4 linked regions of the Rhinolophus ferrumequinum genome follow. The protein of the gene in region 3 interacts with the protein of the main gene of each other region in a pairwise test. Links are inferred from orthologs where the notes say so. Each region holds a gene or a part of one and is shown on either strand. Other genes may lie near its edges. The genes, in order: ZMYND19, CCNC, PNMA5 and CSTPP1.

Region 1 (7,334 bases), on a different chromosome or scaffold from region 3:
TCTGGGCCGCCAGCCCCACGGCACCAGCTGCAGATTGTCCAGGCGGTTGTCCACCGTCACCGCATTCAGATGTACCACCTGGAAGCCGGGGGCGATGCCCCCTCGGTGCCGCTCCCTGGGGGCAGACAGACAGGTCTCTAACCCCACCTCCCAGACCTACCCAAGCCTGTTAGCCATGTGGTCTGAACTGACCCTCCTCACACGGCCGTGTAGGGGACGCAGCAGGAGCAGGCTGCCCAGAGGACTCCACGTGTGTCAGTCTGTGGCTCAAACGTACAGACCACGTTGGCAGGTCAGCGAGGCTGCAAGAGGCCATGGCTGGAGTCCCAAACCATCTAACACACGGCCTAGAAAATGCCCCATGTGCACGGCCCCCCGCGTTTTGGACCCCACAGAGCACACCGAGGAAAGCCATCCTTTCCCCACATCCCCCTAACAGGCCCAGCAAGAGCCCAGGAGGGACGAGGCCCCATGCTCCCCCAGAGGACACTGTGTACCCCAGAACGAACACCGGAGCAGAAAGGGCACTTGGTGGCTGAAAACTTTAGGCTCCCCTGCCAGTGCCACAGTGTGTAGTCACTCATTCCTCACTTAGTGGCAACGATGCAAAAGCACTATCTGTAAACAAGGGCAGGTGGCTCCACTGGCTCCACACACATCAGGACTCATGCAAGACCCAGGGATGGAACAATAGCTCAAAAATACTCACCACAGCAACTCGTGAAGAAGCCTTCCTGACCCCCTTCCTCGATTTTTGTCAAAGGCACATGCAAATATCTTGGCGCCATTTCCATCTGCGTCGACCTCCATCCTGGCCTAGGAGGAATGGGAAGAGATCTGTTAGAAAGCCTCTGATTTTCGGCAACATTTTAAACACCTCTTAGAAACACTGAGCGACGTGAACAAACAGAGGGACAAATGCCAGGCCTGTTCCTGGGGCCCTGGGAATGTGCAGAAGCTCCCAAAGACACGCGGCACGGATATGCCAGCGTGCCCCAACAAGCACCCTCTTCACCCTCATGAATTCAAGCAAGACACTCATGAAGCACTCTGCACAATACGTGGGCACAGCGACATAAATCCCCGCCCCTCCGAGAAGCCCACAATCCCGGGAGCAAGATGAACCCCTGCACAAGACACCATTGTGAAAACGTGAAGGGCAGAGATGGGGGTGCTGGCCCACAGATGCCTGGAGCGTGTCCCTAAGGAAGGAGTGAGTGACACAGACAGAGCAAGGTGGGGCACTCAGAAGATGAAAGGAGCACTGGGCACCAGGACAGACAGTGGGGCCAAGGCCAGAGAAAAGGTAAGTTGGCATGGGACAGTCTCCCAAGGTGCCGGGGCCTGTCCAACTGAACATCCAGTCACAAACGTGACAATTTGTTCTGTTTTTCAGAAAGAGCTGGCAAGAAGGGTGGACGTGAGGGAGGCCCTGCGTGACACAGGCAGCACAGACCCGTGTCCTCATGCGAGGTCCTGCCCTCACATCTCAGGGAAGAGCACCATCCCTCACGGCCCTGCCGGGCACTGACGGACAGCAGGCCTGCAGAGGGAAGGGGGCCCTTACCTCAAAGGAGTAGCCCTCCACCAGCGGGATGTCTTGCTCGTCTATCAGCGTGTACTTGGTCTAGAAAGCAACCACATTTCGAAACATTACCTTGGGGATCTGGCGGAGGCACTGGCAACAGGCAGGGGCGGCCCATCAGCCTAAGAGGGGGCCGTCACGGGGCGGAGCAGCCGACCGCTGCGCAGGTGGACGTGCCAATCGCTGGTACCCCTGGAGCAGGTTTCAGGCCTCGCTGCCACCCGCACCCGACTAAGCCTTCGAGGTGCCACGGGACTGGCCGGCCAGCCTCTAAGCTGTGCGTCTGAATGATGTGCCAATAAACCCAGTCCAACAGGCGGCGTCGCTGGAGCAGAGACGAGCCCCGGGCCGAGGCAGAATATCCAGAAGGTTGCAGTGCTTGCTGATTAAACGGGACTCGGGACTCAGGTGCTCACTGAGTTGTCCTTTTTAGCTTTTTGTCCCCAGCAAAAGCTTTCGAGGAGGACATTAACACGACCGGTCGGTAAGTCAGCAGGAGCCTCGGACTGCGGAGAGCCCACCCTTCTAGTTAGAAAGCCGCACGCCGCCTGCAGGACGGGCAGGTAACGGCCTCCGGACCACTCACTCTCGCCTGGGAAGCTTCTTCTAGGATCTGAGTCCGTTTTACCTTCATCTCACTGCCTGTGCTCCTCTCTCCCCAGAAGCTTCCGCCGCTTGTGATGGGAACAGGGTTCCCATCCAGGGTAAGGTCCGCGGCTGGTGCAGCTGCACGGCCGGCCGGCTCCTGGAAACAGCCAAGCCTCGATGACCACAGGTGCTAGGAAGCCCCCGCCTCGAACACGCGGAGGGCGGGGCCGAGTACGGGAGAGAAGCGGAGGGAGGCCCTGCCCCGGCGAGGCCCACTGAGGCTCGGCCAGACGTGGCCACCGCTGGCAGCGTGAAACCTGCGCGAAGCTCCACTAGGACCCGAAGGCACTGAGCGGCGCGCACACACCGGCCTCGGCAAGGAGCGAGCGCGCCGCATCGCAGGGGCGCTGCGCTCTCCGCGCCGCAGGTGCAGCCGACAGCCCCCTCCTCCCCGGCGCACCGTCGGAGCCCCAGGCCGCGGCCGGAGGGCAGCCCACCGCGGGGACAGGCCGCCCGCCCGCCGCCCGCACAACCGCCAAACCCTGCGCCGCCAGTCCAGCCCCGGGCCCCCAGCCCTGCGCCGCTCACCTTCCCGGCCACCCGGCCGAGCCGCACGATGCCCAATTTGAAGTCTGTCATGGCCAGGCCTGCGCTCGGCCGGCGGCGCCGCTCCCTCGGGAGGCGCCGAGCCGGGGCGGGGCCGCGGCGCGCCTGGCGAGCCGGGCGAGCGGGCCGGGGTCGGGTCCGGGCGGCCGGACGGGACGAGGCTGGGCCGGACTCGGGCCGCCGCCGCCTCGCGCCCGCCGGACCTGCCACGCGCCGCCGCTGCCGCCGCGCGCACCACAGCGAGCGGAGGCGAGGGCGGGGCGCGGCACGGACACACCCCCGCCCGCCGCCGCATGGCCAATAGCGGGGCGCGCCCTGCACCGGCCGGCGCGCGCCGCCACGCCGCGGCCAATGGGAGGCGGGCGAGAGCGCCGGCGCGCTGAGGAGCGGGGCGAGCGCGGGGGAGGGGCGCGGCCGGGGGCGGCGCCTGCGCGGCCGCCTGGCGCTACGTCAGTTTCGCGGGAAGCTTTGTGCGGGCGTCGGCGCTCCGAGCTCCCGGCCTCGCGCCGGCAACCAACCCCCGATACTGCGCGCGGCCCAGGGGCCTGGTTGCGCGCCCCGGACCGTCTGGCAGGACTCGCTGCGGCTCCCCATAAGCGGTCCGGCGTCCGCCGGGCAGCCGGCAGGCGGCCCGGTGTACGGACGGCACCCGGGAGTTGCGGGGCCGCGGTGGAGTCGGGTCTGGGGTGGCCAGTGCCTGCAGGACTTCGAAGACGGCCCGGCCCGAGCCGAATGCGGCTAGCTGGCAGGGCCCCTGACCGCCCTCCTTCCTCCCCGGCCGCCCGCCGTCTCCTCACAGAGGCGGCGTGGGGACCACGGGCCCCGCCCCCCGGCCCTGGCTACACCAAACTTCCTTGTGCCTCAAGCTCCTCTACTGAGACGGGGCGATTTCCAGGGCACTGACCAGCCTGGTCCAGGTCCTTCCTAAACAGCAACTCCAGGGCCTGACGTCTGGGGGTGGGGGGCCTCTGCCTACCCCCCCGTCTCTGCTGGCGTCCACTCCCTCCACTACCCACGGAAACGCCTCCACACCAGTGCACATAGCAAATGTCCACCCCCTTGCTCATCTTCCAGGGAGGGAGGCAGAAAAGGCCTATGATAAGTGAGTTATACGCCCGTGTTAGAAAGTGATAAACGCTGTGGGGAAAGGAGTGGATCAATGTTGGGGCGGGGGTCCCAGTGAAGGTGGTGAGCAGAGTAGGGCCTCGCTGACTAGTCAACGTGAACAACCAGTGAGAGGAGAGGGCGCGAGACGTGGGCATAGAGGGAAGAGTCAGGGCAAAGGCTCAACTGGGAACACATCTGGCGTGTTTGAAACATCAAGGTGGCCATTTTGACCAGACGGGTGAACCGGGAGTGAACCAACAAGTGACGCCATTGGAGGGTTTGAACAGAGTAGTTTTCCAATGCATCACTCTGGCTAAGGAGACAGAGGGGGCAGGCAGCTGGGTCCCTCCTTTGGTTGCACTCACTCGGGAATTCACTGGAGCACCTCACTTCTCTTCCATATAACCTCTCTGTGTCGTATCTCACTGTACAGGGTTTCCCCACGTGACCAGGCAGGACACCTGCACTTCCTTACAGCATAGAGGGCGCTTCCCATTGGGCAAGCATTTATTGGGCCTCTGATGGAATTATGCTTTCTAGTACCCCACTGGACAAAGCGATTCATGCAGGCAAGCCCAGAGCCAGTGTAGGAGGGCTGTGCAGCAGAGCACAAGTTCTGGGAAGTGTGGTTCACTGGTGGGGGCGTGGGCACCAGTGGCACAGCCTGCCCCAGTCTGCCCTGCGGCCCCTGTCACAGCAAGATTGCACTCAGGGCCTCCTAAGACCTCCAGAATTACTGTCTCATCAAGGTACTGGGCTTGGGGTCCATTGTTTTATGATGCACAAAACGGCCCGGTGTGGGCAAGGCACGTTGAGTGTGGCTCCTTTTGCTGCAGAGGCCTGTTGTCTGTACCCCAACACCCAACATTCCATTCCATAGGACAAGAGCTAGACATCCCCTTGAAAAAGGAGGAGTGCACTGTGGAGTCACTGGTCCATAGCAATTTGAAATGCAGCCAGGCATCTGTCCCGATGTTCCTTTAGCATGGATTGTCTGCTCCCTGTAAGAGCTCTCCTAGTCTACTGTTTTCAGCAGTTCTTGGCTTTTCCAGGACCTTGGCCCTGCACCTCTGTCATCCTCCCTTTTCCATAGGAAGTAGCCCATATTTGCTGCTGGGTAGCTTCCTCAGCCAGCCATTTGCCTGTAGAAAGTCAGGGGCCCAAAGCCCTCATTTATTTCAAAGTCTGTCCATTTGAATTCAAGCAGAATACAACCCTTTTTAAAAACCTGTGGATTTGGGGGTGGCCGGATGTTTCAGTTGGTTGGAGCACGAGTTCTTAGCAGCAGGTTTGCCAGTTCGATTCCCACATGGGCCAGTGAGCTGCGCCCTCCCCAACTAGATTGAAGACAACAAGCTGCATCTGAGCTGCTGGAGGGTCGGCTGGATAGTTCAGTTATTTAGAGCGCAAGCTCTTAACAACAAGGTTGCTGGTTCAATTCTCACATGGGATGGTGGGCTGCGCCCCCTGCAACTAAAGATTGAAAGCGGCGACTGGACTTGGGACTGAGCTGCGCCCTCCACAACTAGACTGAAGGACAATGACTTGGAGCTGATGGGCCTGGAGAAACACACTGTTCCCCCAATATTCCCCAATTAAAAAAAATTAAAAATACAACTGTGGACTTTCTATGTATCAAATTATAACCTACTCCATTAGACAAAAGCTGCACCGCAAATGTTTTTGAGAACACTCCCCTCCCTTTGGTTTGCCTTCTTGTGTGGAAAGAAGCCAACTGGCCCTTTAAGCCGCTGCCAGGAAAATCATTAGATTCACTTTCTGTCTTCCACATTACCACAAGCAGCGGTCTTGCCATTTTTCTGTCAATATCCATCCCGGCTCACGCTGTCTCCAGCCTCCATCAGCAATGCCCTCACTGCCCTGCAGGTGTGTGCACCTGCTGCTGGGTTCCAAAGTCAATGGCACACTTTGGAATTTTGTAGTGGCAATGTGTCACTTCTAAGGACCAATATCCATTCCAGTTACCTGTTGCTGCGTAACTAACCACCCCAAACTTACTGGCTTAAAACAACTATTCAGGTGCTCGTGGTTCTGGAATCTCGATTGGGCTCAACTGGTTGGTTGTGCTGTTGGCTGGTGAGGCCAGTTGTCTCCTGTCGTCAGCACCAGTTCCTGCTCTGTCTGTATGTTTGTGATGCTCCACCTGCACTGGGCCTGTGACTGTTTTGATGCATTTAATGTGGTAGAAAGTTATGGGACTTCACAGCTCAGGCCTGAGGACTGGTCACTACACCCACCTTCCTCCTCGGGGGCCTATTTTCAGAACGAATAAGAAACTGGGGTGGTTTGTGCTGCAGTAGTCGATAGCTAACACGGCCATGGCACTGGCACAGCCAGTCACTGGGGGGTAATTGAGGCAGGAAGTCTGAGCTGGTGTCACTCACGTGCCCGGGCACTCTATCTCTCCCTGTGCGATCTCTCCAGCAGGTTAACCAGACATTTTTCGTGGCATCTTGGGGCTCCCAAGAACCTGCAACTGGCATGGCATCTCTTCCATCCCAGTACTGCCAGTTAAAGTTCAATGGGAAGGAATGGAACCCACCTTCTGATGGCAGGAACAGCGTGAACTTAAGTAAAGGGGTGGGAGAAGTGGTTGGCAGACATCTTTGTAGACCAACCGACAATGCCATCAGGTGCTGTCAGCTGGAGAAGGTTCTTGGAGGAGGGGAGTCGGCGTAATGAGAGCTGTATTGGTCATGGCTTTCATTTTCTGTATTCACTTTGACATCTGGGGACTCTTGCTGCTGGGGACAGCCTGCCTCTCCCAGGCTAGCTAATTCCTAGAGACAGCAAACACGCCTCCACAAGCAAACCAACCAATGCAGAGCCCACACCAGCCACCTCCTTCATCTAACTCGCACACCGGGCCAGGATTTCCTAATCATCCTAATCATCTGATCACAGGTGCTGGACAAGTAGAGCCTGCCCCAAGCCGAGCCCACTGAAGTTGCTGACACTGTCCCATCCTAAGGGCTCAAACTCACCTGCACTGCCTCACTGTTCCTTCCCACAGAAAACAATATGGGCTCTGGGCCGTGCTGTCCCTCCCCACTGCCTCCGGAGCCATGCTGCTACTTCCCACGTGACCCTATGTGGTGTGGCACTGTAAGTACTAGACTTGCAAGCAACTGTCTCTGTGTCTGTCGCTTTACCTGATTAAAACTAATCCTGGGTACATTTTAAGACAGAGGCCAGGAGGTTGGAAGGGTCACCTATGTGGATTCTGAAATTGCTAAGAATTCTAACAAGAGTGGTACTGGACAGAGTGACAGTGAGTCAGGAGCTGACCTGGCTGTGGAGAGGAGTGACAGCGGAGGCTGGTGGATCATTACCCAGAACACGAGTTAAAGCTGGGAGCTTCAAGGTCGAGGGGAGATGGCCCCATCGGCATAAGGAACGTCCACACTTGTAGAGGGTCTCTCTGGCT
Region 2 (6,962 bases), on a different chromosome or scaffold from region 3:
TTGGTAATACTTTATAATGTTTGCATCAATATTCAAAAGTGAGACTGTTTTTAGTACTACTTTTGCTAGATTTTACCAGCTTCATAAAGAAAACTGTATTGTAGCTTCATAAAGAAAACTGGAAAGCTTTCTTTCTTCCCATGTGAACTAGAACAATTTCATTATCAGGACCTCTTGATAGTGGGAAAAAAATTACTCATGAAATAATGTGGGCTTGGAGCATTTTTTAAGGAGTCGCGCTCTAACTTTCTTAATTTATTTTGACTTTCAAATTTATTACCATGGAGATAACCCAAAGGTACATCTGGGTTTACCTTTTTCATTCCTAATTTTGTGTTTTTGTATTATCCCTTTTCACCTGGATTCAACTAGCAGTTTAGTCTACTGTTTTGGTTTTCCCTTCCAAAGAACCAGCTCTTACATAATTTCTGACTATATTTTTTCCTTTTAATACATTAATATCAGTGTTACTTTTACTCTTCTTTTTTTCCTTAGGTTTATTTTACTGTTTCCTTTTTAATATTCTTAAGTAGAATATTTGATCTATTTTTATTTCTAAGTTATTCAGGATATTAATTTTATTACAAATTTGGCTTTGGCTACAATATATGGATATACATTGATGTCATTATGTTATTTCTTTGATATTATGTAACTGTATTTTCAGTTTCCTCTTTGATACAATAAAGTATCCAGAGTTAATTTTATATTTTTAATTTTTGTAACCTGTTCATTAATCCATTCAGTCTAGAAAGTATTTAGTGTCCTTCTAGTTTGACTGCATCATAGTCAAAGAATGTGTTGTGTTCTAATACAACTTTCTAGAAAATACTGTGATTTGTTTTTTTTCCAGAATTATCATTAATTTCATCTCTAGTCATTTTGTTTTTAAAAAAATAAATTTCACAAATATTTAAAAGTTTTTCCTCACAGCGCATAGTATGGAGTATAAACCAAAACTTATAAATACCTCATTTCATCAAAGATGACACTGATTTTAAGATTCACTATTATGCCATGCTGATTTCAGAAATACTCAAATGTGCATCTTAGAGTCATGAAATACAGCATATTTCACGTCAATTTTCCTTTCACCAAAATCACCTAAAACAATGGCTTTCATAATTATTTTGTTTTTCCAGAATTGTCTTGTCTTTCATACTTGTTACCTTTTACAGAGCAGGGACTCCATGCTTGTCAAGGAATTTGAGAAAGTCAAGTGGCCCCCTTCCATCAGGACTATTTGAATTGGAAGGCAAGGCGTTTCAAAACAGCACATTTAATATTATAATAATTTTACACTTGAAATGTGAAAAATTGTTTTTATAAAATAGATCCTGCCCCTCTTTTGATAAGCATTCTCACTGTGGCATAATGCTTATCAAAAGGCGGGAGGACCTTTTTTTTTTAAGTTGAAAAACATAAATTCTGACCATCAATAGCTAGCTAGCTACCTATCAATTCTCGCACCTTCTTTCAAAGTTCATCAGAATACCTCTTCTCCACTGCCTAAATTTCGTTATTTTAATTTTGCCCAAGCAAATACTCAAGTGAGTGAAATGTAAAAGAAAAATGTGGTCAGAAATAATGCTTCTATAGCATTTCATCTCCACAGAATCGCTCTAGAGCAAGAAGAAAACTTGATTTCTGAAAATAATTTCCAAGCCCATTGTTCCTTTTTTCCTCCTGCAAAGGGCTAAAAGAATGAACAGAAATCCATCTTTTTCACAGAATCAAATCTAAATTACAGTTACTAATGCTCTTAACATTAAAAATTATTTACACTAAGATATAATCTTTATCAGGTTGCGTTCGTCTTCCAACTGTACTTGGAAAATCTAGTCAAAGTTCACTCAGTCTGGTCACCCACCTTCCTGACTGCTTAACCAAATGGATGTAGGGGAAAATATTTTAAATATTACTCTAGCTCTTCCATGGTCACTGACAGAAACAAAAACTTCTAAAAAACGTTGAAGAAATAGGCAACATCAATGGAAAATACACACTTAAAATATAAGGCACAGACCAATGAAATGGATAAATTCTGAGCGCACCTGCCCTGTACCTTACCAACATAACCCTCCACGTAGGCATAAGGTAGTGGCAGGAATCAGTTAGTGTGAAGAAATAAGTCTGGCTCCCCCTCTCCTCAAAATAATATTAAATCCACTCAGGACAGAAAGTGAATGACAAAAGACTGCGATGCCAACCCACTGAAGAGATCCGAGGCAAAAAAATGAACCACAACTATCCTGAAGAGCCAGCCTCACAGTCCAGAACTGGGTCACATTTCCCATACCTGTGCCCACCCCATCCTACCCCACCCCCTTCCAGGCCTAGCTAATGCAAAAATACGAAACTAAAACCCCGAACCTTCCTACCTCGGAGACCGAACCCCCTTCCCCCACCTTTCCCGCTAACAGATCTTCCCCACCTTCCAAACCCGGCCAGGGGGCGGGGAGAGAGGAGTTGCCAGAGAAAGACGCATCCCGCTTCCGGCCGCAGCCGCCTCCCGGGAGACTCCGCGGCACTCGGGACAGGGGCCGGGATCCAGGCCAACGGGAGTCGCAGGCCCCGTCCGCACCGCCCCCCAAGAGCCAGCCCACGGTGAGAAGACGGAAGATCACTTACTAATGGGAGCTCTGCCAAAAGTTCCCTGCCATGGAACACAGCTTGCCCTGATAAAAAAGCACCAGCCGGCGGAGCGGCCCGCGGAGCGACCATAGACCCAGCCCGCCCGGTAACCGCGCTCCTCAATCTGATCGGCTCGGCTCCGCTCCGCGGCGGCGACGGTAAGAGGAAGAGGATGGCACCCAATTCTTCTTGACGCCGGCCGGCAACACTCTACTGTGTAAAGCGGTTCCTATGGATAAAAGTTCCGGCCCGCCCCCGCCGTGGCGGAGGAAGCCGGCTGGGAGGAGACAGCCTGTGGTCGCGCTGAGATAGTGCCTGGGAACTAGGCTCTCGCGAGACCTTCGCGCCAGAGCTGGAGCCCGCGTGGTTTGGTCTACTGGGGGTAGTGCCAATTCGCGAGTGGGCAGGCAGTTGGGAAGCAACCCAGTTCAGGTTTTGTTTTTCCATTTTACACGCTTCCAAAGCGGCACGGTGGCATTGTGTTAAAGGTTTAATGAATTCAATTCTTTCTCCTGTGATTGGAAAGAGAAAGATTATTTTGGCCTCAAGGCACTACCAAAACCTACTGGCACCAAGCCGCATACGTTTTTCATGGAGTTCTTTTGGAGTGAGGCAGAAATATTTAGAGTAACAATGTTTTGTTTTTTTTAATGCCAGAGAACCACCAGTTTTGCAGAACAGCTAAAAGCATTTCTCTATTACATGTATATGTATATACACACATACATATTCACATATATGTACCAAATAGAAACATACAGCCAAAATTGCAATAATTTAATTTTACAAGATGAAATAATTTGTATTTTCCATTTCTGTTATCATTGTGATATTGCAATTATTGTAAAACTTATAATCATTTTTCCAAAGATTAGGCACACTTAAAAGTTACTGATAGGTCAGTGTTCTGAGGTAGCTTGGGACAGTATTTTTCACACTGTGGGTGGAGACCAATTAGGGGGTGGTGAAATTGAGAATGATAAGCATTTTCCTAAATTAAGTTTTAAATTATCAGGTATGTTAGAAATAAGGATATTATTTAAAATTTTTTGATTCTTGGCAGCCGGATGGCTCAGTTGGTTAGAGCGCAAGCTCTCAACAACAAGGTTGTTGGTTCAATTCCTGCGTGGGATGGTGGGCTGTGCCCCATGCAACTAATATTGAAAACTGCGACTGGACTTGGAGCTGAGCTGCACCCTCCACAACTAGATTGAAGGACAACGACTTGGAGCTGATGGGCCCTGGAGCAACACGCTGTTCCCCAATAGTCCCCAATTTTAAAAAAATGTATTTAAATAAAATAAAATTTTTGATTCAGTTACATGTTATATAGGTGCTATCTCAAGATATGAAATGTATTTTTAGTAACTTAACAAAAATATGTCACACGTCACTTCCATAAAGTCCTATAAAGTTTGATGTGGATTAGACTTCTCTCCTTGATGGTTGATCTTCAAGAATGCAGTATGTTTCCATCTTTCAACTACTCTCTCTTGGTTCTTTGCCTCCAGGCTTAAAATCTTTCTAGAGAGAATGCCTAGGACTCTCTCACTGGCTCTTAATCAGCGTCAAGAGACTTAAACCTGAAACAACAATCACTTCTTCTCTTCCCATTGTCCAGAATAGGAACATGCTTCTAACTTAACTGCAAGGGAGGCTGAGAAATGTAGGGGAGCCGGTAGTATATTTGATGAACACTACTGTCTGCTACACTGCAGATCACAGTCAAAAAAAGTTTGAAAGGTAGTAACTTAAGAAACACCAAACCCAAAAGATATATGAAAAAATGCTCAACTTCACTAGCTATTAGGGAAATGCAACTCAAAACCATAATGAGATACCACCTCACACCTGTTAGAATGGCTACTACCAACAAGATAAGTAAAACAAGTGTTGAAGAGGTTGTGGAGAAAAAGGAACCCTCATACACTGGCGGTGGGAATGCAGATTGGTGCAGCCAGTATGGAAAACAGTATGGAGTTTTCTCAAAAAATTAAGAATAGAATTACCCAGCAATCCCTCTTCTGGGTATCTACCCCAAAAGTCCGAAAACATTTATCTATAAAGATACATGTACCTCTCTGTTCATTGCAGCATTATTCACAGTGGCCAAGACATGGAAACTACCAAAGTGTTCTTCAATAAATGATTATTTAATGAAGATGTGGTACATATACACAATGGAATATTACTCGGCCATGAAAAAAGATGAAATACCACCATTTGCGACATGGATGGATCTTGAGATTATTGTGCTAAGCAAAATATGTCAGAAAAATTTGAGAACCATATGATTTCACTCATGTGGCATATAAAACTGAAAGCAACAAACGAACGAGATAAACATACAAACAAAAAAAAACACAGACACAGACAACAGTTTAGTGGTTACCAGAGGGTAGGGGGGGAGGAGATGGTAGAAGAGGGGAAAAGGGACAAAGTGTATGGTGATGGAAGGAGAACTGACTCTGGGTGGTGAACACACAATGCAGTATATAGATGATGTATTATAGAACACTTAAACCTTAAAACCTATATAATTTTACTAACCAATGTCACCTCCAATAAGATTAATAAAGATAAAAAGTAATAAAGAGGTTGGCACTAAAAAAAAAGCAAAGAAAGAAGGAAAGAAAGACCAGGCTCTAGGCCACTAGGCTACTTCATAAAGGTTCAGAATTTCTTTAATTCTCTCAGAGGTTGTCAGCCTGACATCATCCAGAAGATAAGGGTACTGCGACAAATCAGTATTATTAAATGTTTTGTTTTATGTGCCCCCATTACACTATTTCTTTCACTAGACAAACATTGTTTCATGCCTAATTCTGCACTCTTCTTCCCACAAAACTGAGTTCCTTCATCTTGGTATCACCATTCATTGAGGGCATAACACATAGGCACAGCAGGCAATGGTATTTGGGGAGTAGGGTGCTTAAAGAAAAAATGTAACATATGGACATAAAATCAGGTTGAAAAGTAAGTATTTAGAATGCAAAAAGAAATCATAACAAATTACTACAGCCTTGAAGATTCAGGTCCTTCTGTGAACTGTTCTAGGCAATTTAACCAGAAATATTACATAGAAATGCTTCCCACCTGCAACCTGGTTTCTGCTTCCCACCCAGAATTCCAAATGCACAACAGCGCTGGTGCTCCCAGTGGCCACTCAAGTCAGGGGTCTGAAGTTTTGGCGTTACTATTTTTAGACTAAATTGTCACTGAGGGTACTCCAGAAGGCAGGTTGAATTGAATGATTTGAACCAAAAGCTAACTTTATTTAAGGATATCTGGTGGAATACAGCAATGTACAAAAGCTGTTAAAATGCCTAGATATCAACTTATCTGGATGCAAAAGATGATAGGCCATGTAGGTTTGTTTCTTTTTGCTGATAGCTTTTTGTGTTGTTTTTTTTTTTTAACTTTTCTTTATAGTTTTAGGTTTTTTTTTTTTATTGTTTCTCAGTCCTCATACTTGTGTGATTTAAACTTACTGGAATCTATTAATCAATCTTGTGCCTTGTAATTTTTTATTTATCTTATGCTTTTTAAATAAGGATGTGATTAATAAATTCTTGATACAAATGTTGATTCTTCTGTGACAAAAAAATATTTATCCTTTTTCCTTTTTACAATGCTTTCTCCAGCACCACGAATACTATTTCTCAGAGCCTAGAAATTTAGGGGCTTTATCAAGCTCTCTTACCTAGTTAGTGGCAAGAACAGCTAGAATCCATTTCTTCTGATTCCCAGGGCAATGAGCTTTTCACCCAACTGTACAGCTTCAATAGAACTATAACGACTAAACTACTATAGACACATTATTTCAGGTTTGTAGTAGAAGTTTCTCCTCCCAAACACTATTAGTGAAGACCATCTTCTCACTTTTAATTAAATTATTATTGTAATTTGCTGGGGTACTAACAGTCTTCGTTGTGAAAATATCATCTCCTCTATATTCATTCATTATGTCTTCGTTTATTTTAACTCCTGGATACTTTAGTTAAGACGAGTAAACCTCTAACTTATGGTAAAGTGTACTAGTTAGAAATTCAGTCTCTAAACTACACTGATCAAGTTCAACTAATAGCTCTGCCGCTTGCTAGTTGTATAACTGCCTTAGTCAGTTCAGACTTCTATAACAGAATACCATAGTCTGTATGGCTTAAATAACAAACATTTATTTCTCACAGTTCTGGAGACTGGATAGTCCAAGATCAAAGTGCCAGCCCGGGTCCTGGCACCTGGTGATTCGGTTTCTGGTGAGAAACATCTTTCTGGCTTGCAGAAGACTGCCTTCTTGCTGAATTCTCACATGGCAGAGAGAATAA
Region 3 (7,154 bases):
AAGATGAAGCATTCCGGCCTGTAGTTGATTGCAAGCACTTTCAGGGAAGATTCAGTGTAAAACAAAAAATTATCTGTGAATGACTTAAAATGCCCATGGTTAAAGATCTGATGAGAGTTCATTACAAAAATCATGCAATTGACAAATTTGGTTGTTTCTGTGGCATGCAACACTTTAGAAGTCCAAGGCACTATCCATGACTATGGAGCCACTTTGTGGCATGCAACATTTTAAAAGATAACTAGAATTATGATTGATAATGCTATACTGTTGTTTAATATCAGGCAAAGCAGAACCAGGACATATTCTGGACAGTGACGGTATTGGCAAATCTCTAGGAACTTCATACAATTTCTGAAATATTTTTTTATTTTTATTTTTAAAATTAGTTTCAGCTGTACAAAACAATGTAATAGTGAAATATTTATATTAATAACATTTTGCCCACACGAATTTAACTTAGGGAGGGTTAGGCATCTCTTCTGATTGACAAAGCCTCCCATGCAATTCAATATATCAAATAAACCTAATTATTTCTAACACCTGTGATTTTCCAGGGTCCCTCAAAGAAGGTCGAGATCAAGAATACATCAATTAGGATTTGAGTTTAGGAAGGCAAAATATCAAAGTTGTTGGGAGGTTTGAACACTTGGCTAAATAATATCATGTGTCAATGAGAAACACTCCTTGGCTTTCCATTTAACCAAAGTGACAAAACATTTTAAAAGAAAAGATAGGAAGTAACGCAACTGAAAAGAACCTTAGTTCTTTCAAAACTGAAAAGGTTTGGTTCTCAAGCAATTAATGACATGATAAAGTCAACATGAAGGACAGTAAATTATTCTAAGACACAGAATCTTTGCTTTCTAGGCTGATTACTCAGAAAGCAAAGCAAAACAAAACAAAACCTTGGGTGGCTGGATGGCTCAGCTGGTTAGAGCACGAGCTCTGAACAACAGGGTTGCCAGTTCGATTCCCACATGGGCCAGTCAGCTGCGCCCTCCACAACTAGATTGAAGACAAGAAGCTGCTGCTGAGCTTCCAGAGGGGTGGCTGGATGGCTCAGTTGGTTAGAGCGCGAGCTCTCAACAACAAGGTTGCCGGTTCAATTCCCGCATGGGATGGTGGGCTGCGCCCCCTGCAACTAAAGATTGAAAACGGCGACTGGACTTGGAGCTGAGCTGTGCCCTCCAAAACTAGATTGAAGGACAACGACTTGGAGCTGATGGGCCCTGGAGAAATACGCTGTATTATATATATATATATATATATATATATATATATATATATTCTATCTATATATATATAATATATATAAATGCATATATATAGCAAAGCAAAACCTTTTACAGCCTCTTACTAAGAGCCTACCAATAATCTAAGTTTTTTTTCTCATTTTAACAAGGAAAATCAAATTCTAGTTTCGCATCAGTGTACTGCTTAATATTACAGCTCATTTTAAAATAGCTCATAAATAAACCCATTGAACTTTAGCCAGTTATGACCACAAGAAATAAAATTTATTTTCTACGAACCTTCTACAACTTTCATTTTGATTCAAGTTTTGTCCTGTTGGCATAAAAAATGTCCAAACCTGTAGATAATTTTTATAAGAATTTGTTTGAGCCAATCTGACAACATATGCCAGGAAGAAAGATCTTAAATGCTCCAGAGACTAACAATGTTGCAGCTTCTTTTATGCATTTGAAATTAAGGAGGGAACTAAGGAAGATTACATGGGGGTGGGAGGAAGCAAGGCCAAGATTGGATTACAGGAGAGGAAATAAGATTATGTGCTCTCTTGAGTGTGGTTTTGCTTCTGAGGAGTCTGAAAGGGGGTATTTCAAAGGTGTGTTGACCTAGATGCACAAGAAAAACGGACAGGGCTTGCTTAAAAACTAAAGAAGTTTTTTTAGATTCCTGTTTGGGCACAATTGTTCTTCAGCAGAGACCTCTTTCTTCCAGATACCGGCACCATTTAATAGTGATGCCATGGTAAGGAAATAGACTGGAATGCCCTGGGACTAATTCTCTCTGGCTTTTAGGCACTAAAAAGAAAAAGAAAAAATTCCATCAGGTCTGAATAAGCCAATTCATGGACAATTATGAAGTGAGAAGTTTCAAGACAGACACCTATTTCCTAACATTAGGTATGTCAGCGAGTAAGTTATAATTGGGAAAATAAAAGAGATGCAAATTTATTTGTAAAAAAAAAAAACTGAAGAAGTTACAGGCCTAAGGCATGACTGACTACCCACCATGGCCTGTCCAATTAGGAATTTATGATCACATCACCCTGTGAAGTTCCTTTCCATAGGACCCCTTTTTTCATCCATAGTCCTACGCTTTCGTCTTTGTCATTCTGGAACAGCCAGTCATTTTACTTTAGGACAAAATTAGTCGTTGTCCTTAACAAAAACACATCCTGCATACCTTATATACTTAATTTAGTATAAGGTTTTAAGTTACCTAAAGATCTTGAAACCTTTAGGGCTGACATACTACATATGAAATATAATTACTGTTAAAATAAAGTTTTGTCAGAATAAGTTCACTTTGAAATAGTACATACACATACATACACAAAAACATACATATAAAATAAATAATCCTGGCAATGTAATGTACAGCATGGTGACTATACTTAATAATACCATATTGCTTATTTGAAAGTTGCTAAGAGAGTCAATCTTAAAATTTCTCATCACAAGAACAAAAATTGTAACTATGTGTGATGATGGATGTTAACTAGACTTATTGGGGTGATCATTTTGCAATATATACAAAAATTGAAGCATCATGTAGTACACCTGAAGCTAATATAATGTATGTTTTCAGGGGTATTTCTTAACCTCCCAGGATCACAGGGCCAGCACACCTCTTTCCATGATTATCACCCTTTGTGATACCTTGTAATACCTATAATACCAAGTGGCTCAGTGGTGGTTTCATGGAACCACAGTGATCTGGTATGATGAGAACCCTCAGGTAAAATGTCCCACCTGGGGTCGACTCTCTGACAGCACCAGGTAACCATCTTTTCTTGGCATGGGAGATAGAGTTAACAGACTCTTAATAGTGTGTTCTTATTATGTAAGGCCTATTGAGGCCTTCTCAGACATAGCAAACAAATGTCGTTGAAGGGGAACAAACATGTTGCTCAGTAACCTTTCATTTAAAATTTTATTTCCTTTAAATATTTTTATTAAAGCATTATAGGACAGCCTGTTCACTTGTATCCCTAATAAAGGAAAAGAAATCTATTTTTTCACCAAAGGCGCATAATTTCTGGATCTGAAAAGTAATTACAGGCTTTAGAGCCTTGGTACTCAAAGCCTAGTCAGAGATCTGTAGCATTGGAGTCACCCAGCTTTCGAGAAACACAGACTCTCACTCACCCCATCCTCCTGATGCAAACATGCATTGTTATCAAGACCACTTTCCATTGTGCTACCTGTAGCCCCCTAACGCCCATTGTTGAACAGCGCATTTGGGTCCTGAAGGCCCCAGGGCAAATGTTCCCTGAGTGGAAGAAACCTTTCGAAAAGGGCAGGAAGCAGTTTGACTATTAGGTGGGTAATGGGTAAATCCACTTGCTCATAAAGTCAAGAGAATAATGGGAGAATGGAATCCTTGAATCCTTCTCTGTCTCTTGGTGAACTCCAAAAATTTCCATGCCCTTGGGAAATACAGGGAGCAGCTGTATTGTTGCCATGCTCCATTAGAACACAGCGGAAGAAAAAATAAACAGGGATCAGGACTTTTCTTTAGAAAGCACCCTCTGGGGCTTTAGTTTTGCACCCGGCCCTGTGATGACTTGCAATTTTCAAATTTGAGGAGGGGCACTGGTGATTGTTACCGCACAGCTCGGGTAGAGTACAGAAGAGACAATGTAACAAGAGCCACAATGGCTCCTGGGCCTGGCGTTCCACGTGGCAGGCCTGGTGGTCTCTTTGGAGATAACCCAAGGCCGGAGCAGTCCAGCTCTGCACTGCAATGTACACTCCCCCGCAGCTTGATTTGAACTCTCTGTCCCCACCTCCGCCAAGTGCATCGGGAGAGGAACAAGGGCTGAGACAAGGAGCACCCCCTTTCGAAGGGGGAGGAGGGTACCATTCTGCGATGGCGCAGGGACAAGCAGGCCGTGTGCCCCTGTTGGGGGCGCCAGGGTTTCTTATTTTATAGCCTCCTCCCCCTAACTCCTGGCCCAGTGTGCACCGGGGCTACAGAAGCGTGGTGGCTGTGGTTTTCTGGCGTCTGGCCTGCAGACATCTCCAGTAGGTAAGGAGTGGGGCCCTGAGCAACCCAAACCGCAGGACGTTGTCCCCAGTGGCCCTTGCCGTCTTCCTTGGCATCACAGGGGGCCCCCTGGAAATGGGATCCTACTAGATCAGGCTTGGCACCCCGCGGGCTCCCTGCCATTTACAGGCCATAGCAACCAGCCTGGGAACTGCAGAGGAACTGATTCCATGCCTAACCCTGCCCAGAGCCATTGCAGTCTGCATATCCAGAACAAATGGCTCTCGGCCTTGCTCTGGAAGGAAAGTGGCTTCAGCCCTTCCTCTCCTGGCCCCCGCCAACATCAACTGACCAGATGTATTCCTACTACAGAATGGGGGGTGTTTGAGGTAGGGGGTGTGTAACGGGTGGAGGTTTTAGGGAAGGGGGTTTAGTGTGGGGGAGGGGAGTTTAGGGGAATGAGAATAGGAATAGGAGTTGGGTTTAGGTGGGGGGCAGGGCTTGGATTGAGCTGTAGGGGTGGAGCTTGGTGTCAGGGGTTGGGCTTGGGTGGGGGCGGGGCTTGGCGTCAGGGGTTGGGCTTGGGGAGGGGCGGGGCTTGGTGTCGGGTTGGGATTGGGTAGGAGTGGGGCTTGGTGGGGGGGCTTGGATCAGAGGTTGAGCTACAGTGGGGGTAAGCCTTGGAAAGGAGTGTGACTTGGCAGTAGGTGGGTATGAGTGGGGGTATGAAATTGAGGGTGGGGACAATAATCTTAAAGTGGGATTCCTCCTGCTATAACAGTGGACCCCAGTGACAAGTTTCTTGTATCTCTGCACCAGGGTACCTGTGGCCAGCTCTGCAAACTTAGAATTGGCACAGCCTGAGCAGGGGCACGTGGGGCAGAACCCTATCAAAATACCTCTGCCTTGTCTTGGGGACAGGTCCAGTGGAACAGTACCCCCCCCATACACCCTGGGGCCAGGAACTGCCTGACTGTGGACAGCTGGAGAGTTGACTGAGTGTTGAGTGCCTGGGGCATCCCTGTATCCACACCAGCAGAGGGGCCTACTCAGCAAGGTGAGTGGTGGTGAGGAGGGCCTGTGTTGGGAGGAGCCTCTGTAACCCTGGCAAAGATCAGGAGGGGGAGGGGCTGCCTGCCAAGATGTACAGACTCTGCAGGGTAGGGTCATACCTAGACAGAGAGCTGTCTGTCTCCTGAAGTGTGGCACTGGTGACCTTTTCTGGGTCCCCTTTCTGCCCGATTCCAGCTCCCACACATTTTAAAATCATAAGCTCTTGATTTTTTAGCATTCCATCCTTGCTGCCCACCCCCATCTTCCCTCCCCCGAACCCCCCCTTGTTGCTGGGACACTACATTGGTTGGAGGCCAGTGACATCACCTGTTGCTCCTGGAGGGCCTTAACCTTACCACATGACACCAGTCTGCGATAGAAACCCATGGTCCACGCTGTTCTCAGTATCCATGGCAACACTGCAGCTTGTCACAGGCTCTCCACACCCACCAGTTTCATTGCATTGCGCAGAACTCCAGCCATCTTTCTCATCTGTCGGGCATTTTCTGAGAAAGAGGGGAACTCTGCATCTCCCTCCTCCTCCCTTTGCCCTGGCAAAGAGGTGCCAGGTGCCTGAGGCCTGAACAGCCCTGAGCCAGGGAGTGGAACGTTCTGTCCTCTCTTGCTTAGAGGGCTTTCTCAGTGTCCCCAGTCATCAGGCCGTGCCTCCTGACGCTGGCCTTTTTACTACAGGCACCTGCAGCACCTGCAGCAGAGTCCTTGGAATTTGAGAAGGAACCCACAGCAGGAGGAGGTCAGCAGGGAGGGCATGAGGTGGGGGGAGCTTGGACTGGGAGGCCCCTCTACAGTCTATACTCCACCAAATGACTAGGGGAGCCCTGGGAAGCAGGGACTGAATTCCTGTGAGTGGAAGTGGGGGAAGAGAAGGGGCTCTTGATAGAGGGGACTTGGCGATAATGATGCTTTCACCCCAATTGCATTACAGGCTGTGGAAACCTCGGACACTTCTGCCTTTGTGCTTGGCATTGGCTCAGAATTCACTGAGCTGTGGTCAAACTCTGAGCAGATTACTACCCCTAGTATTAGATCAGTTCATAGAAAGTGGAAGCAATGGCCGCTGTGACACTGTTAGAGGATTGGTGCAAGGGGATGGACCTGGACCCTAGGAAGGCCTTGCTGATTGTGGGGATCCCCGTGGAGTGTAGTGAGATGGAAATTAAAGAGACCGTGAAGGCAGGCTTACAGCCCCTGTGCGCCTACAGGGTGCTGGGCAGAATGTTCAGAAGGGAAGACAATGCTAAGGCCATCTTCATTGAATTGGCTGACTTTGTCAATTTCACTACGATACCCAGTGAGATACCAGGAAAGGGAGGTGCCTGGGAAGTGGTGGTGAAACCCCGTAACTCAGATGACGATTTCATCGCTAGACTGAACTACTTCCTGAAGGATGAGGGCCGGAAAATGGCAGATGTGGCCAAAATCCTGGGGTATAGCAGTGTCACTGAGAGCGTGGAGCCAGAGGGTTCTTCCCAGTTCAAACTGGCAGTTATTCAGCCTCTGAAAGAAACCATGTGGTACCGAAAACTTAAAGTGTTTTCGGGAAATACTTTCCCAGGCTCAGGTGAAGAGAACTTTGAAGTCTGGCTAGAGCACGTCACTGAGATTATGAAGGTGTGGCAAGTGTCTATGGTAGAACAGAGGCGCCGTTTGCTGGAGAGCCTACGGGGCCCTGCCCTGTCCATCATGAGGATGCTCCTGGCTAACAATGACTCCATGACTGTGGAGCAGTGCCTGGACGCTCTGAGGCAGATCTTTGGGAGTAAAGAGGACTATAGAACCTCACAGTTTAAGTTTTTTCAGAGCTTTCAGCTGTCTGGGGAGAAAACCTCTGTTTTTTTGCT
Region 4 (7,243 bases), on a different chromosome or scaffold from region 3:
CCAAGCTTTTGAGACATATAATTTAAATGGCAAATACCCAAGGAAAGGAACAATGGACTAAGCTTTTCATAGATTCATTGAGTACTGGATAAATAAAATAGGTAAAGTCCTTAGCAAAAGTCTAGGTATTGCTAGACACTGATATTATTACTCATTGGATACAAACTTATCTGTCATATAAGTATGCCCTTTTGGCTGATGAATGGATGTGGTCAATTAATCTCTCTCTCTCTCTCTCTCTATATATGTGTGTGTGTGTGTGTGTGTGTGTGTGTGTATACACATATATATAGGTATGTATATATATATATAAAATATATACCTCTATCTTTATATATAATATATATATATATATATATATATATATATATATATATATAGCTTTCAAAAACCAAACAGCTCTTAAACTTGGCGAAAAGATGCTTAACTTCATGAAAGAAATGCATATTAAAACTACGCTGGAACTATATGTCACTTAGGTTGAAAATATACAAAAGTTTGTTATATTTTGTTGGGAAAGACTATGGAGAAGCAGGCATGCTCTTATATTGTTGGTGGCAGTGTAAAATGGTACAATGCCTAGGAAGGGCAATTTGGCACTATCAATATTTAAAATGCATATACCCCTGACCTGTCAATTCCACTTTGTGCAACTGATCCTTGTAGATATACCAGTAAAGGAACGAAATTACAGGTTACTCAGTGCAGTATTTTTAGTAATAGCAAAAGGCTAAAAACAACATATTGTCTACCAACAGAAAATCGATTAAATAAATTATTTAAATACTATGCAGCTGAAAAATAAAAAGAATGAAAAAGCTCTCTACTGATACAGAAATTACTCTTAGATATAGTAAATGAAAAAAGTATTCACTGTATTGTCCCTTAGGTACATAATAAAATAAACTCTAGAAGGATACACAGGAAACCAGTAATAGTGGTTACTGGTCGGGGCTGAGTATGAATGAGAACTGGCAGGGGACAAGAGGTGAGAGGAGACTTTTCACTATAAACTTCTTTATATTTTTTAATCCAGCTTCCACATTACCAATTCAGAAATTTTAACTAGAATTGTTTGTCATTAAAAAATATGTACAGGGCAGCCGGATGGCTCACTTGGTTAGAGCACAAGCTCTGAACAACAGAGTTGCTGGGTTGATTCCCACATGGACCAGTGGGCTGTGCCCTCCACAACTAGATTGAAAACAATGAGCTGCCACTGAGCTTCCAGAGGGGTGGCCAGATGGCTGAGTTGGTTAGAGCACGAGCTCTCAACAACAAGGTTGCCGGTTCAATTCCCGCATGGGATGGTGGGCTGCACCCCCTGCAACTAAAGATTGAAAACGGCAACTGGACTTGGAGCTGAGCTGCACCCGCCACAACTAGATTGAAGGACGACTTGCAGCTGATGGGCCCTGGAGAAACACACTGTTCCCCAATAAAAATTTTTTTAAAATATGTACAGTACATACATAAAATTGAATATTATTCCATGACAAAAAGAAATCAAGCTAGGAAAAAACATGGAGGGACCTTGAATGTATATTGTTTAATGAAAGAAGCCACTTCTTTCACAATTTATAAAAGGTTACATACTGTCTGACTCCAACTCTGTGACATTTTGGAAAAGTAAAACTTTAAAGACAGTTGAAAGATTAGTGGTTGCGAAATGTTGGGGGTCGGGGTACAGATGAGTAGGTGGAGCACAGATATTTTTAGGGCAGTGAAACTATTCTGCATGATACTATAATGGCAGATACACGACATTATGCAGTTGTTAAAATCCATAGAACCAACAACACAGACAGAATCCTAATGTAAACTAGGGACTTTAGTTAATAATAATGTATCAATATTGGCTCATCAATTGTAACAAATGTATTACACTAATGCCAGATATTAATAATAGGGGAAACTCTGAGGAGGTGGGAGGGAGTACATGTGAATGTTGTGTAATTATCTGCTCGATTTTCTGTGATCTTAAAACAGCTCTAAAAAAAAGTCTATCAATTTTTTTTTTTTTTAAGGAGGGCACAGCTCACAATGGCGCATGCGGCGATCGAACCAGCAACCTTGGTGTTATCAGCACCATTCTCTAACCAACTGAGCTAAACGGCTACCCCAAGGTCTATTAATTTTTAAAAATTTGTGTGCATACATCCTTTTTTTCATCCATTAAAAGTCTTACACACTTAAGACACTCAATAGAGCTACAGCCCTAGTGGACAAGAGCTCAGGTTCTGGAGTGGGCAAATTAGATTCTGATCCTAGCTCTACCATTTTCTAACTATGTGGCCTTATTTATGCAATTTACCTCTTCAGCCTCAGTTTCTCCGAATGCAAAATGGAAAAAAACACAATATTTCCTCCTAGGGCTGTTTTGACGATTCAATAAAGAATACATGTAAAATGCTTAATATAATGCCTAACGAAAAAGAAACGCTCAAAAAGTAGTTGCCGCTATAACAAAATGTTATTCACAGGATGACTGATTTGGCACTTCAGGTTCCAAGGTTACTTCACTACCTGCATATCAATAACATTCCAAAAGGGCCCCAAATTCTCAGCTCCCAGCTAACCCACTTTGGACACAATCCACACTGCCTGAGCTCCCGCTCGTACACTTCAGATATTCTTTACTCCCCAGATGCTGTTTTCCACCTCGCTCGGCCTTACAGGCTCAGGCCCTGGACCGCGTCTCCCTCCCCACCCTCCCCATCTCACCCCGATCCGTTCCCACCCAGACCCCGGCCTAATTCTTCTGCACTTCTTTCCTTCCCCGGGGCTGAAGGAAGCTCCTACCCAGATAATCGTAGTCCGGTAGGGCTAGGCGCTCCGGACTCAGCATCCTTTGACCGGGGTAGCTTCCAAGCTTTAGCATCCCAGCTTCCGGAATCCAGGTCGCCCGCTCTCTCCGTTGCCATGGCACCCACGCAGCGGGAGGAGAGGCAGGGGGAGGAAGGTGTGTCACGCAAACACTCTCCGTATCGCAACGCCAAGCTGGCCACACTAGTTCCGGAAGCGGTCGCTTCGCGGCAGTCGAGGCTTCTTAGGGCCCCTATTGTAAAGGAGTTGGTGTTAGAGGAATTTGAGGTGGAGAGTTCTTTCGAATCCATCATATTTCCCAGTGTCGAAGAATTATTGCCAGCTCTCCATATCTTCGATTTCTGAATTTCATAACTATTCCTGCTTTATACAGCTGTTATCCTAACTCACAATGGCTCCCACCCATAAATTCCCATAAACACTTACTATTCCGTTACCTATTTTTCTCTCTTTATTATTGATTACCTTCAGTTGCTACAAAATGCTTTCACGTGCGTATATCTTGGCTGCTCCGTGAGGCCAGGGAAATGTCTTTTCTGCCCCTAACTAGCCTGGACACACTGAAGGTGCTGATCAAATCCTCTAAGAGTTCATTGACGATCCCTCTCAAATCCCTCTTTATCTTTAGTTCTTCCCTTCACTCCTATCCCTTACTATTGGGTACCCTTCCAAGGTGTCGTTCTTTTTTTCCTACCAAGACACTTCACTTCTTGAGAGGATGGGATACACAAACCAGGACACCTATTGGATTTTTCCCCTCATATGCCAAAATTGCTCACTTCTTTAAGAGGGGAGAACAAGTTCCAAGAAGTCCAGATCCTTCTTTTTGGCTCCCCTCCACTCCCAACAACAGGTTAGAGGTCTGTAGCACTTGTCACAATTGAAACCTATTAGAAAAAGCGATTCTGTTCTCACTTTTTAAGTTAGTCCCTTTGCCCCCGCCCGCCCCCCCAAAAAAAACCAAAACAAGGTGAGGTTTTGAGAAAAGAAAGAAAACAAAAATCATGCTATCAAAGGAATGACTGGGAAACCAGTGGACCACCTACATTGGGAGGAAAAGGGAAGAGGAGGTTCTCTTCTTTGTGTTTTGAGTGGTCTATTCTTAGCCTCCTCCAGCAGGAGCTTCAAAACTCCTAATTCTCCCTTTCCCTTAAAATTGTATATGTCTCGTTTCTAGGCTCCTGTGAGTCACTCTGAGTTTGGATGTGGTAAGAACAAAGGGACAGACCCAAATTAGGAACAGCATATATTATCTTGAGGTAATGAATTTACTAATTTGATATTTGATGTGAAGTCCTGCAAATTTGATTTAAAAAAACTTCCTTCTTTCCCCGCCCTCACCCACTCCCCATTTCCCTAACCAGTGCAGTTTGAGGGTATGGCAGTTTCATAATTTACACACCCATGGCTTATTACTACATTATTAATAATGTAATAGGATAGTAATCATTAATGATTACAATTTCATTTTATTTCCAAGCAACCTGAAGCTATTTGCAGATCATTTCATTTGTCCTCATAAAGACTTTCTAAGGCATTTCTCCTTTTCCAAGTAGGAAAACTGAGGAACATATCAGGAAAATGACCTGTCTAGCATCATCCGGCCAATCAGTGGGAGAGCTGGAACTGTATCTCAGTTATCCCAGCCTCCAGGCTAGTGGTCTGACCACTAAACCACACAGCCTCTTTTTTTAGGGTTTGTTGACTTGGTTTTTATTTATTTATTTTTCCTTTTGCTCTGCCCTGCCAGCAACTGGAAGCTCCCAGATAAAAGAAGAGACTTTTGAGTCCAGGCTGACCATTTGACATTCTCTTATTTGTGGAGCATTGTCCTGGGACTTGGAGGGTGCTGCTGCTGAGGTCTGTGTGGTGGAGCTGGGAACCAGCCCCAAGAATATAGCTTTGTTTGGGCATTAACCCATTTGCGGTTATAATAATGACAAGTTTCAGCACCAGTGGCGCCCGACTGTTAATGACTCAAAGAAAGCTAAATAAGAACAAGATGTCATCTCTGGAGCAATTTGTAGGTTTTTCCTACAGCTCCATCCCTTCCATAAAAATCCTAAGGACCCTTATATTTAAAGTCAGTCTTCCACTCTTACTGTCCTGAACAGTCTATTGAGGAAGAAGACTCAGAAAATGGTAGGTGGTTACTAGACTAAGCCTGCAAGAAAATTTGGGGTTGCACAGAAATAACAGGTAGCCTTTTACTGGTGGTGGAATTACTGACTGCTTACACTTTTCTTCTTTATAATTCCCTGTATTCTCAAAATTTTTCTATAATAGGCACATATTATAATCTGAAAATACATAAACAACCCAATATGTGGCTTGAAAAATCTTTAAAATATTCTTTAAGCAAAAGTGATGACCTTCCAGATAGTGTTTGTTTTTCCCAAGAAAGAGCTACTACTTTTAGATTTCTCTTCTGCCATAGATTACATGATAATAGATTTTGGCAACACATCAGTGGTGGAAGATATTTTTCAGTGACACAGCCAAAACATCAGTCTTAAGGAGAGTAGAAATACATAAGAGTCGTTAAAGCCAAGTGTATTTTTGTGACCCTGTTGAATGTTAAGGAAAGAACAAAAAGTCAGCCTTCAATTTAGATGAGCTTTTCAAGTCCTTAAATTATCATATTTCTGAAAAATTTCCCTAAACAAAGAAGCATCTAGTAAATCAAAAAACAACTCCACAATACTGAAAATAAGCAGGTGATATGAAATTGATCAAAACACAGAGAGGGCATGAGATGTTAAAGTATTATAGCATAAGGAATGGAAACAGCAAATTGAAAACAATAGGAGAGACACCCACGAGAGAGGATATGTTGATATGTCAATTTATCAGATTATAATTCCTAATTATAAATAGAAAATTAATAGACATCTCTGGCTTTGCCAAGAACCTATGAAGAGATTGCTAGGGAAGAAAATCTTCCCTGGAATTGAAACCACAGAAAAGCAAACATAAGTGTACTAAATAGTTTTAAACCTCAAGGAAACAATAAGGAAAGAAAAAATCCAGGCTGGCTGAATTATTGCTACAAAACAGGTTCAAGAAACTAGGACAGGCTTTTATCAGCTCATCAAGCAGAAAAGATGCTAAAGGCGAAGTAGCTAAGAAATGCAGGTCATAAAATTCATTCTGAGCTACTAGGCTCTTCTTAAAAGATTTACCCTCCTTAAGAGCAAAGCAGCAACTAAATTCGATGCCACTGTATAGGATTAACATGTTTACATTAAAAATGCTACTTACAGACAAGGCATTTTGGACAGCCATGGTCAACAGACTGGAGAATTTGCAAAGAAAAAGAAACATCCACAAACTCTTGGACAGTTAAGAATAACTAATACATTATGAGAAAGTGAGTAAGAGGACATGGCTTAAATTGAACTACAGCTCAGAGACAATTACAGACTTGTACCTTCTTGTTATTTTATATTTTCGAATGCTGCAAAAAGAGTTAGGAATTACACTTTCGTGTCATTTGAAAGGGAGGAAGATTTCCGATTTAGTAGCCCACAAAAATTAGCTGTGCCTTCCTCTGTCCTAGACTATACGCTTTGATAAACACTTATATCATTTAAAAATAATTATTTGATATCCCCATTAGATTGTGAATTCCTTGAGGGCAGACACAGTCTTCATTCATCTTTTAAATATTAGGACCACGCACAATTCCTGACAGAATAAATGCCTGAATACCATAAATAGAATTTCCCCCTGTAAATTAAAAGTCTAGAAAACGAAGCCCATCCAATTCATAGGACTTATGGTTGCCTCAGAGGAAGCAATTCACAAAACAAATTCATTAAAAAAAAGTCCAGCAAAATGCAAGGCATCATTGAGAAGGGCATTAAAAATCAATCAGAAAGCACTGGCATATCCTTCCTACACCTAACTATTGCGTGTGACAGATCACTAAATCTTAAGAAATGCTCAGAAAAAAAGCAACTAACTCAACAAAAAGCATAGAGACAAGTTAGGAGAATTAGTTCAGGAGGATGGAATGGAATACACTAGGAATCATTAAATAAACTTAGGATATGAACTGAAAGCCCCAAATTTCAGAATCTTAGGACGAAAAGCTGCAGTCTCTGTCTGTTTTTTCCTCCCCCAAGCCATTCTCTACATTGTGACAAGAGTTTATTGCCCGAATATTCAAATATGAGCATGTTACTTCCTTACTTAAAAAGTGTTGCTGACTCACCATTACTAGGATGAAGCAAAATTCCTGAACCTGCAGATATACAGTATATCCCTTCACAGTCTGCTCCCAACCTACTTTTCTAGCCACCTTGCCATTCACTCTTCCCTACATACTTAATACTGCAGCCACACTTTCTTACTCACTGTTTCCAGACATACCTTTCACACCCTCTTGCTTTGGCATAAGCTCTTCTCTCCACCT

The links.
Region 1: the proteins of PNMA5 (region 3) and ZMYND19 interact in binary tests that used the Homo sapiens proteins (3 or more experiments, as listed by UniProt). The two-hybrid records come from large-scale screens. The link is inferred for Rhinolophus ferrumequinum from reciprocal best matches to the Homo sapiens genes PNMA5 and ZMYND19.
Region 2: the proteins of PNMA5 (region 3) and CCNC interact in binary tests that used the Homo sapiens proteins (3 or more experiments, as listed by UniProt). The two-hybrid records come from large-scale screens. The link is inferred for Rhinolophus ferrumequinum from reciprocal best matches to the Homo sapiens genes PNMA5 and CCNC.
Region 4: the proteins of PNMA5 (region 3) and CSTPP1 interact in binary tests that used the Homo sapiens proteins (3 or more experiments, as listed by UniProt). The two-hybrid records come from large-scale screens. The link is inferred for Rhinolophus ferrumequinum from reciprocal best matches to the Homo sapiens genes PNMA5 and CSTPP1.

What each region holds. Positions count from the first base shown.
Region 1 is NC_046295.1:83,566,121-83,573,454, forward strand, and holds the start of ZMYND19 (zinc finger MYND domain-containing protein 19), read right to left. Parts: upstream 3,023-7,334; 5' UTR 2,813-3,022; coding exon 2,762-2,812; intron 2,579-2,761; exon of another isoform or gene 2,220-2,578; coding exon of another isoform or gene 2,214-2,219; intron 1,628-2,213; coding exon 1,568-1,627; intron 817-1,567; coding exon 710-816; intron 116-709; coding exon 1-115. UniProt on the Homo sapiens protein: May be involved as a regulatory molecule in GPR24/MCH-R1 signaling.
Region 2 is NC_046286.1:54,286,927-54,293,888, forward strand, and holds the start of CCNC (cyclin-C), read right to left. Parts: upstream 3,003-6,962; 5' UTR 2,664-3,002; coding exon 2,632-2,663; intron 1-2,631. UniProt on the Homo sapiens protein: Component of the Mediator complex, a coactivator involved in regulated gene transcription of nearly all RNA polymerase II-dependent genes.
Region 3 is NC_046284.1:7,195,737-7,202,890, reverse strand, and holds the start of PNMA5 (paraneoplastic antigen-like protein 5), read left to right. Parts: upstream 1-4,147; 5' UTR 4,148-4,281; intron 4,282-4,935; exon of another isoform or gene 4,936-4,946; intron 4,947-5,160; 5' UTR 5,161-5,296; intron 5,297-5,760; exon of another isoform or gene 5,761-5,985; 5' UTR 5,986-6,046; intron 6,047-6,238; 5' UTR 6,239-6,363; coding exon 6,364-7,154.
Region 4 is NC_046294.1:14,138,746-14,145,988, forward strand, and holds the start of CSTPP1 (centriolar satellite-associated tubulin polyglutamylase complex regulator 1), read right to left. Parts: upstream 3,016-7,243; 5' UTR 2,882-3,015; coding exon 2,803-2,881; intron 1-2,802. UniProt on the Homo sapiens protein: Regulator of the tubulin polyglutamylase complex (TPGC) that controls cytoskeletal organization, nuclear shape, and cilium disassembly by balancing microtubule and actin assembly.